Neodiprion lecontei: one gene and its partner. The protein of the gene in region 2 purifies or fractionates together with the protein of the main gene of each other region. This does not show direct contact. Links are inferred from orthologs where the notes say so. Each region holds a gene or a part of one and is shown on either strand. Other genes may lie near its edges.

Region 1 (4,692 bases), on a different chromosome or scaffold from region 2:
ATATTTTATTATAATATAGAATAATGTTTTGTACTTTCAAAAATTTGAGTTCAATTTTGTAACATAACTCGTTTTCAAAATAAAATATGTAAGGAATATCCATTTCGAAACAAATCTCAATTATTCTCAATCACTTAGTTCCTCTTCATCACTAAAGTAATTATTTTTTTTAAAACGTTTTTTAGGTTTCGAAGATTCCTGTCTTGGCTCTTCGTACTGGCCAGTTGCAACTTGGAACCTATACTTTGCAAGTTCCTCTTGTTCTTGCTGAAATAAAATGATCAAATAAGAATCTAAAAAGTGCATTTAAGATTAAAAACTTTCCAAATGACACAATTTCCTACCTCGTGATGTATAGCAGCACTCAAAGTTTCTAAATCTGATTCAGCCACTGCATTGTCATATATTGTCTCAGAGTCCCCAACACCACCTGGTTCTCTCAAGCCTTCGTCACTGTCACTATCATAATATGAGGTATCGCCTTTTGCTTGATCTTTATTTTTTTTTCTAATTCTGATTTTTTTTGGTGGAGGTTCTCTGGGGCCCAAAGTATTTTGAGAGCATTGGTACGACAGATGCCCTTCTTCACCACACTCGTAACACTGAGATTTGTCTGGATAATCCTTTCGTCGAATGAATTCAGTACTGCGTCCATTATCCACGGCTATGGAGCTTTTCACAGTACGGCCACCAATCTGAGAATAGAAAATTTTCTTCATTTTGTGTGAGATGTATATTCATTATTAAAATAAGTTATGATAGTAAGACAAACATATGATATTGATATATATTTTACCTCAGTATTATTTAGAGTCTTTGCACAAGTAATGGCATCTTCACGTGTGAGAAATAAGACGAATGCAACACCCTTGCTGCGTCTAGTCATCTTGTCTTTCAACACAGTAACTCTGCAATTCATAAAATCACATTTTAATCAACTGTTTAAGTTAGCTACAATTATAGATTCAATACATTAGATAAGATATTATATATGTTTCTCTGGGTAAAGATAAAAGAGAAAAGTGAATGCGTGTATGGTAATTACGAAATACTGAAATTCCAAAAGTTTATTAAATAGTTAACAAGTTGCATCATTAATTTTCGAAGTGATCACTCACTTGACGATCTTTCCGTACGTTTCGAGAAGCTTGTGTATGTCATTATTAGTCAGAGAAAAGGGCAAGTTAGAAACGTAAACCGTTGATTTACTCGGAGCAACACCTCCGCTCATCGCTCTGAATTATTGTTTCGTATGAACCGTATGAACACAGTGTAAATTTGAAATATACACGGTGTAGGTTATGTTCTTGTCGCATATTTTACGGTTATGTTTCACTTTGACGCAGAAGCATAATTTTAAATTTGTTCATTCACGATTCGTCGATATAGATCACGTGGATGTCGTTCTTTGTTCTCATTGGCGTAGGAGCTCTGCCAGGTCAAGTCTTGGGGCGCGAAATGTCAAAAAAAAATTCCAAAAATTGAATAATTGATGACAAATATTTTGGTTTTTCGAGTTTGATATCGCCCAGTGACCATTTTCCCTGAAAAACCTAACATAAGTGACGATAGCTGGTCATCCCGACATTACCTACAAACACATTGATCTGAATTTGACCTTTCGCACGCAAACGAATCGTGTGCATGAATCATAAATTTGGCCATGTGCAGACCGCGTTCGGCAGTCGAAGCTTGTGTCGGTGGCGACAGTCTTGTATGTGCGTTTTAACAAAATATTTTGGGCAATTAGAAGGGATATAGGTTGTTTGCTATCGAAAAACGTTGATTAAACTTTCTTGGTAATTTAACATCAATAAGGTACAATTTTGAAAGCTGTCATAGTCGTTGGTACTTGAAAAACTTGTTGTTTTAACCTAACCTAACCTATACATCTGGTAACATTTCTGTACAAGATTTAAGAGGCACAGATATGTCAAGCAGTTGTTGTATCACTCCCTTTAATAAATAGGAGTTACATTTTGCGATACCTGTAATATGTCTAGTATAGTTAATAATTTTATTACGCTTTGATAGATCATACTTTAATCTCGGAATTCTGTTATTTAAGGTTAGAGTCTTCGGTGTTATGTTCGTTTTTTCGAGTTGTGGAACCTTCCGTTACAAAACTGTACACTTTTGCAAATTAAGTACATGGCTTATCCTTTGCTTAAAATTAACGAGTCGTATTCATTATTAGCAGATTCTTCAAAGACCTTATTCCAAAATCAAAAATAAACATGGCTCAGCAAAATTGTGTTAAAAGGTTGCATTTGAATAACTATTTACAAATATCAATTATTTCCTGGTTTGTAATTCCAATGAATTTTATTCATTTGAAAGTCTCAATGGCTCATATGAGTACAAGGTAATTTTTCATGATTCAGACAATTCTGCTTTAATTTTTCCTTGTATCTTTACTTTGATAGAACAAAAGTCATGGCGACAGTAGAATCACTTGCGGAAGTAACAGATGTTGTTCAAATTCTGCGTCAGTGGGAAGAAGACCATGTTTCACCGACGTATGATCCAATACCAACATTGCAACGTTTGGCTGAAATTATAGAAATAGAGACAGAAAATTACTTAAAAATGGATCCAGATCCATTTGACGAAAGGCACCCTTCACGCACTGATCCAGAATGTAATTTTGGACATATTTTGAAAGTTTTGTTTAGAAAGGACAACTTCATGACAAAGGTAGTACCTTGTTCCATATTTATTGTGTAATTTTTTGAAACAAATGATAACAGCATTGAAACCATATCAAATCTAATAATTTCTTACATCCAATGTGAGTAATGAAATCAGGGACAAAACAAACTTGTCTGTCTCAAACATCAGCTTTGAACAATTGTTGAGTCTTTATCCGAAACATATTTTCGATCTGTCATTTGACTATTTGGAAAAATTCAATTCAATGATTTGTGTTACAGCTGATAAATGATTATCTAAGAGACACGTACTGGACACGGTCAGGTATTAACGGTCGTGATGTGCGAAAGTTGAATATTGCAGCCTGCCGTTTGATGTTGGACATATTGCCAGGCCTAGAAACATCAGCAGTGTTTCAACCCGATATGGATGGGCTTATCCATAGGCTTTTTTCGTGGGCTGAAAAAAGCATAGAGCCTTTACAAAGTTATGCCACCGGTTTGTTAGCTGCTGCAATGGAAGTTCAAGACATTGCTACAGGATTTAGAGAACAGAATGGTAAAATGGTGCCTTTGATGCTGCAAAGATTACACAAGCTACAAGAAAAAGCTTTGGAAAATCGTCATGCAGCAGTTAACACAAGACCATTTGCACATTTTGGTCAGAATAGAAATAGCCTGGGTGATACTGAACACAAAGGTACTCCTGGAAAACGGAAAGTGAGAGAGAAGAAACATGAAAATGGAACAATGAAAAGCCCTACGCACTCAATTTTTTGCTCAGATGAAGAAGACTCGATTCAAAGTTCGGACGAAATGCCACCAAGCAAAAAACTCAAGTCTCAAAATAACATGGAAAATGCTGTTTTAACACCTGTTAAATCTAACGATAACACCAGAGATTCATACCCCGAGATTATGTCCCCACCGTTATCTATTCCTCGTATAACTACCTATACAACTTTACAAGTTACACCAGCGAAGAATCAAAACACTCGTGTAACACCACCAAGACCTGTCAACATATTGGCATCTGGTAGATCTAATTTGTCTAAACCTCAGACTCAAGTAATCAACCCGCCTTCCTTGCTTCTAGAAGGTAATTCGAATTCGTCCTGGGCTGAAATGGAGTCTTACGTTATTGGCAATGTTCAAATACATCCGCCCACTTTGGCTACTCGTCAGATGCTGATTTTAAGGTACCTCACACCAATGGGAGAATACCAAGAATTTCTTGGGCACGTATTCGAGCAAAACGCTTTGGAATTGATATTAAACTACATAAATGTACGGGAAACAAAGGATAGTCGCTTAGCTTTTGAAGCTTTAAAATACTTAGCATCTTTACTGTGTCATAAAAAATTTTCTATCGAGTTCCTAAGTATGGGTGGATTACAAAAACTCTTAGATGTACCAAGACCCAGTGTCGCGGCAACTGGTGTTTCTATTTGTTTGTATTATCTTGCATACTGTGAGGATGCTATGGAAAGAGTTTGTCTCTTACCGAAACATATAATAACCGATTTAGTGAAATATGCATTGTGGTTACTGGAGAGAAGTCACGATTCTGGTAGATGTCATGCAACAATGTTCTTTGGATTTTCATTTCCTTTCAAAGTTATTCTGGAAGAATTTGATCTCCAAGATGGACTTAGGAAATTATACAATGTTGTGAGTATATGAACTTAATATCAAACTGCAGTGTTTTGCGAGACATAATAAAGTCATTATACACAAACCACCATTTTGAACGAGAAAAAAATGACAGTTTAATTCCAAAACTAGAACAATCAGTAATTTCATTCATTTCTGTGATTGTGAAAATGTATGTCGCATTAATTTGGGGTTTGCAATGTGAGAATACTATATTGCATTTGCTAAATCTTATTATTATTATTATCATCATTATTTTTGAGACATGTATTTCCTGATTTACATTAGATATCTACATTACCCATTCTAAACATTGATGATGACCCGGCTTTGAATGATGATGAAGAATGTGCGTCAAGACAAATAGTAAGACATGTTGCTGTAGCAC
Region 2 (7,981 bases):
GTGCAGGCAGTTTATTTTGTACAATTATACTCCGACATTGATTTGGGGGGTCTGCGCAATCATTTATGTATAAAAATATAAAGTAGTAGTGAAAATTTTCATCTCCGTAATTAGAAATATTGAAGCTTTTTGTTTCTGAAGATTAGTATTTGTATTCATCGTACTCCTTTTAAGACGTAATTAACCACTACGTATGTACAGTTGCTTAAATTTAAACAAGTCAATTGAGATACCTTACAAGGATAACGTACAGATACTGATCTATTGTAATAGTCCTTCATTTTCTTCCAACTCTTAATTTATAATTATTATAGAACCCCCTTTTTCGAATCCTTGGAACAGAAATGTTGGCCTGCTTGAACTTGTTAAAATTTAAATAATAATCTGAGGTAGCACGCTTATTGTACTTTTGAAATAAATGACCTTACTAAGTGCCAGTATTCTGTGTCCTCAGAAAGCACAATCATATTAAGTTCCAGCTTTGAAAATGCATGATGTGTACGTATATATCTTATTAAGGTGGGATCACATATAATTAATTTCATCCGCACTTAAAAGTTCAATAGTTATTCGTTTTGTGCTTAGAAATATCATTCAATGATCACAAAAGTTTCTTCCACTTTCTTGGTTTTTCTTTTTATCAACTTCTACCTACTACTTTTCTCACTTTTCGACACATAAAAAAAAGCTTATAGAAAAATACTATAGACCTATCCATAAAAAATAATACATAATTAAAATTAACAACAGGCTGTCTGGATACCTAGCTAGCAGTAATTATAAAAAGTGTCTTCAAAAAAGTTGAGAGACATTAAAATTTCTTGCATTGAATGTGGCGTCGCTTACTCGTCCGTTGGATGATAATATGGTTAATCATTAGCTTAATTATTTTAATCAGTACTAGATTGAGTTATGAAACTATCGTGATTGCGGAGTAACCAGCATAAAACCAACTTTTTCATGGGCGTAAGCTAAGTTCTTTGCTAGTCCAGAAGTGCAACCATGTTGTTGAATCGTTTGGAATCTGAAAGTTCGGAAGTTTTTCTCACTATCAATGTATGTGACGGCAGCCATCAAAGGACACATTATGATCTTGGTGTGGTCTAAGAAGTTTATCTGAAAAAAAAGTAGTTGACATATATATTTATGCAACACTGGCCAGTCACAATGTTCATACGAACTTCACAATTTTTTCACATTGTACAAACAGATGGATGTCAGAGATGAAAAAGAAAAACTGTGCGAGTTATAATTACTTGTACAGATCCATTAGTCAGCTGCATAACTACAGCACTTTGCGTTCTAAACCACTGATGCATGTAGGGAATCCTGGACATTGAATCACTTTGCTTAACAGCCACCGATCCCCCAGCTTTCATTAGATGTTCATTCATGTAACGTTGAAAATAGTTCAACAGCTTCATCTTCTTGTCCAGGTGACCCGGATAGTCCTTAACTGTATGGTATTCTTCTGATCCTTCACGATTTATGTAATGAACATTGAAACCGTTCGCAAGCATTATCAGACGTGTTCCGTCGTTGTACATCACACCAACTCCTTCGTCAGATAATTGGTATCCAAAACCATATTTGTCTGAGTAGTCCACCCATTTACTGATCCAAACAAATGGTTGTGCATCTGGATCTGTCATCTCATCTAAAGTAGTTGAAGAAAGAAAGGAACAAAGAAAAAAACACCACGTCATTGGAGTTCACGTTGAAAAATCTAGTATCGTACACATCAATATACAATGTGTGCTTAACAATGGAAGACAGAGATGAGTTGTTGAACCATCGATGACGACGAAAAAAAAATTTCACGTTGAAAAGTTACTCATTCAACTTCAGAAAACACCAAAATAAGGCGAAATGCACTCTAAATACGTCAAATTTAGTAGGTGTGAACCTTAAGAGAGAGACTGCTTATAGTACAACAGCAATAAGTTCAAGAGCAATGGAATTTTGTTCACCTTAAATAGGTATTGACAGAAAGAATACACAATTGTATCAAATAATTTCTCTGTTAACAGCAATTCATTCACAGGGAAACAGTGCACATCAATATTGTTACTGTCATGCATTTAACTGACCAACATTTTTATCACTGGTTGATAATAGAACAGGTAATAAATAAGAGTCAAAGTATTTATACAGACTCAAATAAAGCAATTCCAGATAACAAGTATGGTGATGTTTTGTGAAAATAATTTACATGTACATCTACTTTGTTTTCAATCAAAAAGTCAGATACACTCAACAATCTGCTGTAATAGAGATACTTCTGCATGAATTTCAGATATATGTTGATTAAAAATGAATAAAGGTAATTCAAACGAGCAAAGTTTCTAGTCATGCTACGAAAATTTGATGATTGACCAGGACAATTTTCACTGATTATTTTTACTTAGAATGTTGGTGACCTGTTTCAAAGTAAAACAATTCAGTTGTAATGATTGTAGTCTTAAATATTGGAAATAAGTAGATATAATAGGGTGGCGACAATTTTGCTCAAATAAAACTCTCTGACTTTTCCCATCAGAAAATTCAGAATTCTTTGAAGTTTTCCCACAAAACTTAAGTAATATTGGGCAGCTTTTATGACCAAAATCTCGCGAAATTGCGCACCTTGAATATATAAATTTGGATCTAAAAAACAAATAGTATTGCTTTGTTTCACACAAAATAATTAGAGATTAAACAATACCATTTCTGAAAGTTAGATTAACTGAATTTACGAAGCATAGCTGAAGACTGAAAACGAATTATAAAAAAAAAGTATGTTTTTTCCCTACAATCCATCATAATTCCCTGACTTTTCCCGATAGACGACTTTTCCGGATAGACGAAATTTCCTGACTATTCCTGGATTTCTTAGTCTGTCGCCACCCTGTTATAGGTCCTCAATTTGCAGCAATAGAAGCATTGATTACTGAACAAAAACACATTGTATATTAATATTATACACGGATTGGAAGAACCATGCCTGATGTTTCCAGGGTAATCTGATAGGATCTTGGCCGTTCTGTATTGGAAATATACAGTATCAATTAGTGAAATTAAAACTGGTTGTTAGTAGTGTAATATTTGTGGCTGGAATAGTATGTGAATTTACTACTTTTCGTGTGGCGTCATATATGTCTATGTACCTCCAAAAGCGATGAGGTCCACGGCAGGCTTAGTTTTGAGTACAGTTGCTAATTGTTCTTTTAGTGTGAGTAACATCTTCTTTATATCGAGACCCAATTTTTTTTCTTCACTCATTTCGATACCTTTACCCTTGAGAGCAGGACTTTGCGGAACTCTGAATAGGACATCATTTATATCTCCACATCCATTTCCATTCATTTCAGTTAACGGCTTACGCTGATTGTGCATTTCCAATGCATCCATACGAGGTGCCATTGTGAGGCAAGATATTGGAAGACTTGTTGGCAAGAATCCTATGAATTTGGTAAATAATAACGAATTTAATTTCTTGACTTTCAGACAACTCATTTGTACACTTAAATCGTACGGTACCATTCACTTTTAAGAAATTGGTTATTTCTGTACGAAGCAGCTGTTTATGCTTCTAATTTATGAATTTTAACCTGAGAAAGTAAATATTTAATACCAGATGTGAAGAATACATCTTTGATCAGTTTGTTAACACTGGGCCGTTTAGTGGGATTCCCTTGAAGCATGTTGGCAATCATATTCATTGCAGCTTTGCTCAGAAAAGCTGGAGTTTTGTATTGCACTTGTTTTATCCTAGCATATGTTTCCCTGAGGCTTGATGTTTCGAAAGGTGGTTTTCCCACAAGAAGAGTGTACATTATACATCCGATACTCCAGATGTCAACTTCATAGGAATGCCCAGATTTCATCAGAATTTCTGGAGCTATGTAATTTGGAGTTCCGCACAAAGTTCTATTTTCCGAAATTAAATCAAAGTAGTTTATTAACATTCGAAGACCAGCTACTTGGAATAAGTTTTAGATCAATTATGTCTCTAAATAAAGCTTGAAGTGGATAACATTAACATAACAAAGGTTTTTCTTAAGTACCTATTTTGGAACTTTAGGAATGAAAGAAATGAATTTTTCAATTATCACCATGTTAACATTACAAACTTGATCCCCATAAACGTATAATAATAATTGAATAAGGAGATTACTTTTTCCTTTCTCCATCATGTTCTAGTTTTGTAGCTAATCCGAAGTCACCTATTTTTACTTGTAATTCGTCGTCTAGGAAAAGGTTCCCTAGTTTCAGATCTCGATGTATTATTTTATTCTTGTGCAGATAGGCGACACCATCCAAGATCTGTTTCATGTAATAGCGTGTTTCACACTCTGTCAGAGCTTTCCTTCTTTTGTGCAACTCCATCATTGACTGAAAGAATAAATATAACGAATCAGATATATATCGCCATGGTATTCCAATTTGTATACTGGAGGAAAGTGTGTCTGATATTGTGCAAACAAGAAAATGGTGATTAGAAATCTTACATGAATGAAACGTATATTCCTTACATTTGAAAAAGTAATATGGCTTTCTCTGAAAAGATGCATAAAATATAAAAGGTTGATGTGAAATCTTTACCCTTTTACGACAAAGTTCCAATATGATATAAATATTTTGGATATCTTCAAAGAATCCATGAAACCCGACGATATGTCTGTGTGTGAGACTTTGATGAATATGTATTTCCTGCGTCATTTTGTCACGCTGATTGACTTTTGTCAGTATTGATTTGGGTACAATTTTTCCAGCAAATACATGATGAGACTTCGATTCCTTGATCTCGTAACATTTTGCAAATCCACCCTAGAAAAAATATAACATAGTACAGATTCGCCACAACATATTTTTTGTGATCATTCCTCATTATAAAATATAAAATTTTCATTCATAAGATTCATCTTAAACAATATTTTATCAATCAAATGATTCCTTAAAATATTAGCTGATACAAAGTTGTTTCACTAAATTCTGTTTTGCTTAAATGAAATTATTAGGAAGCCTAGAACTGAAGGTATATCAGAATTCACGAGGTAACTAATACGCTCTACTTTATTGTTAAAAGATATCTTTTGGGCAAATAATAATTCTATCTGACATTTGCGGGCATGTTATGTGAAATTAGCAAATAAATTTCGAATGGTAAGTTACTGCTAATGTAATGCTTGATGGGGTTTTGAATAAAGCAATGTTTTTTTGAAAAACATTACAAGGCTAAGAGCAACAAGTGTTTGGATATATCTAGGTGAAAGGCTGAAAGCTGTATGACAAATGACGTTTTGGACTTAATCCACCAGTAATAACATCAATTTCTCAGAGCATATATTTCCGGGCACAACAGAAATTCAACAATGGGCTTGATGGTGGCAGTGTTCAAAAATTTGACCTTGCAGAAGCCCGAATCAGGACTATTGACACTGCATGCAAAACGTAGTGTAATTAGTTGTAAGGAATAAAGAAAACATGAACGAAAGATTTAGATTGATGTGTAATACAGAGAAGAATGATTAATCGGAAAAGAAGAGAGTAATAACGATAAATCAGTTGTCCCGCAATACTGTTCGAAGGAATTAATGTGTTTGTGTCAGAATCTGATTGTTTGATCAATTCGCCTTCAATCTACTGATTCCCAGAAAGTTGAAATGGCTTTAGGATTGACTCATCTTTGGCTTCGCCCTCAAAGCCGGCGATCGAGGATTTTGCTATTTTTCGGCATGGGAAGGATGCAAGAGAGACAACACGTTGATTAATATTCGAGGAGACTCACCTTTCCGAAGAAACGACCCTTAATATAGCTCTTTCCCGTATTTCCATCGTGGATTATATCGGGAATAACGTTGTCTTTGTCATGTTTAGACATCTTTGTTGTTCCGGGTAATTCGAGCCACAGTCCAGTATAGGTATAAAACTTAGAAATCGGTTAAAATCACAGTTATAAGACACGTAGTAACACCGAAGGCCGCTTCTCTTGGTTACTCGCCCTCAACTGGCTGCTGTTTCGTGTTGAACGGGCAACGGATTCTAATGTTTGAATCCAGATGTTCCAGCCAATAGCGTACGTCCCACTTGTCACGTGACATCCGAATTTTCTGTTGTTGGTACGCTTCGCCATCGAGGCTTTACCCATGGGCAGCCTGTACAGTATTTTTCGATGAGCATTAATTAAACTTGATCAGTAAGAGCACTGAACAGTGCTCTTAGTGTATATCGGAACATATCCCAAGATCTTGGTCAAATTTTGTAGAGTTTCTTGCACTCTTTTGAAATATGCAGAGAAAGTTCAAGATTTTCGAAAACTGACGAAACGACGTTCGTTTTTCGAAAATTAGGGAAACCCAATTTTCGTGATTTTTATTGAAAATTTTACACGGTATGTGAGGTGATATAATTGATATATCCTATAAGTTTCATTGATGTTAAGACCGCTTCATATCGAGAAAAAATATTTCGTGCTTCACAGAAATTTGCCAATCTTTGTGCTGGTGTCGACTTTATGGGCATTATTGTGGGATGTATTCAGATTTTCTAATCCAAATAATATTACTCAAATTTGATACACTCATACCTGGAGGAATAAATGACCAGACATCGTATGATGTATGACATAGAAGACCACATATCAATTTGCTGGTAAAGACTAACAAAAAAAAAAAAACACAAAATACCGGTCAAAACATTCAAATCAGGGATTTATTGTAGTAAAAACAATATCGTGTAAATCCTAATTTCTAATCAAACAGCAGTTCGATCGTTTTTACAACTATAGTCTTGGATGCTTGGCCGTTCTGAATACTCAATACTATAGTTGTCCGAATATTCACTTACTTTCACGTTCCACACGTAACATTTTTGTATGCTTCATATCGGAAAAAAATAAATATCGTAAAAAATCCCTTTTGTATTTCTTTACTATTATTTCCTTTAAAGGACTAAAAGACGATACAGGTTGAATCTGATTGGCCAATAAATTCGGACCTAAGCACACTACTGGCAAAAATGTGCCACGCAACACGAAACTAACGGAACCGACCGTTTTAGTTAGATATTAAAAATGTATAATTACCCGCATCATCACGCGTTCTTAGCGGTTGTCATATATGCACCTAAATCGCAAAACGCTAGATATTTACCCAATCGTGTATTATATCGTCGAATTGACGGGACCAATAAAATGTTGAGTACAGTACCTTAAGCGGGTACCCTGGTCGATTTCGACATTGGCGAATGTATCTCCAAATATCAAAGTCCGCATATCTCAAACGTGAAGAAGGTAAAATGCTGAACAAAAACGATACAATACATTTTCAATTAATGCAGAAATAAAGAAATGGCATGAATTCTACGAATTTACTATTGCGATTTCTTAGAATCCATACCATTTCTTTATTTCTGCGTCAAATGAAATTATATCGGAGTGTGTTTGTTCAGAATTGCGTATAAAATGGGGCTGTTGGGCCCTTCTTTCGCGCTTGAGATACGTGATTTCGGTATTTGGAAATTTATACAAGAACGTCGTAATCAAGTAAACCACCCCCTTAAAGTTTTTTAAACACTGAATTGAAAATCAGAATTTCACCTAGTACAAGTATATTAATAATTTCGTAAAGGTTTCACACGATATCAAACTTCGGAAAATATTTACTGTATTTATTCGCGAGATGATGGGGACTGATTGTTTGAAGATCAAATCGAAACCCTAAATATCAATGATTCTTCATGAGACCACTATAAGTTCTTGTCACCTTATATTCATTTAATCAACCATTATTGCCTCTCAAGGGTGGAAATTCATATTATGGCAGTTCTATTTTCAGACAAAAAATGTTATCATACCGCAGATGAAAAATAATGTGAAGAGTTTTTTATTGGAATAATATATTGCATCCATTTTTTAACAAACAATACATTCAATTTTTCTGTAGCAATATTTTGCTTCAATTATATTTGCATAAATTAAAACAATCATAAAATGATGCAA

Evidence for each region. Proteins that work in one complex are often made in the same cells at the same time.
Region 1: the proteins of serine/threonine-protein kinase polo (region 2) and protein mahjong purify together in Homo sapiens (affinity purification with mass spectrometry; 3 studies listed by BioGRID and IntAct, with this or other methods). This does not show direct contact. The link is inferred for Neodiprion lecontei from reciprocal best matches to the Homo sapiens genes PLK1 and DCAF1.

Annotation. Positions count from the first base shown.
Region 1 is NC_060260.1:28,673,276-28,677,967, forward strand, and holds the start of protein mahjong, read left to right. Parts: upstream 1-1,629; 5' UTR 1,630-1,644; coding exon 1,645-1,718; exon of another isoform or gene 1,719-1,848; intron 1,849-2,094; exon of another isoform or gene 2,095-2,237; coding exon of another isoform or gene 2,238-2,263; intron 2,264-2,426; coding exon 2,427-2,697; intron 2,698-2,933; coding exon 2,934-4,322; intron 4,323-4,592; coding exon 4,593-4,692. UniProt on the Homo sapiens protein: Acts both as a substrate recognition component of E3 ubiquitin-protein ligase complexes and as an atypical serine/threonine-protein kinase, playing key roles in various processes such as cell cycle, telomerase regulation and histone modification.
Region 2 is NC_060263.1:23,619,952-23,627,932, reverse strand, and holds serine/threonine-protein kinase polo, read right to left. Parts: upstream 6,015-7,981; 5' UTR 5,864-6,014; coding exon 5,771-5,863; intron 4,810-5,770; coding exon 4,585-4,809; intron 4,375-4,584; coding exon 4,157-4,374; intron 3,910-4,156; coding exon 3,614-3,909; intron 3,441-3,613; coding exon 3,147-3,440; intron 1,658-3,146; coding exon 1,257-1,657; intron 1,117-1,256; coding exon 919-1,116; 3' UTR 339-918; downstream 1-338. UniProt on the Homo sapiens protein: Serine/threonine-protein kinase that performs several important functions throughout M phase of the cell cycle, including the regulation of centrosome maturation and spindle assembly, the removal of cohesins from chromosome arms, the inactivation of anaphase-promoting complex/cyclosome (APC/C) inhibitors, and the regulation of mitotic exit and cytokinesis.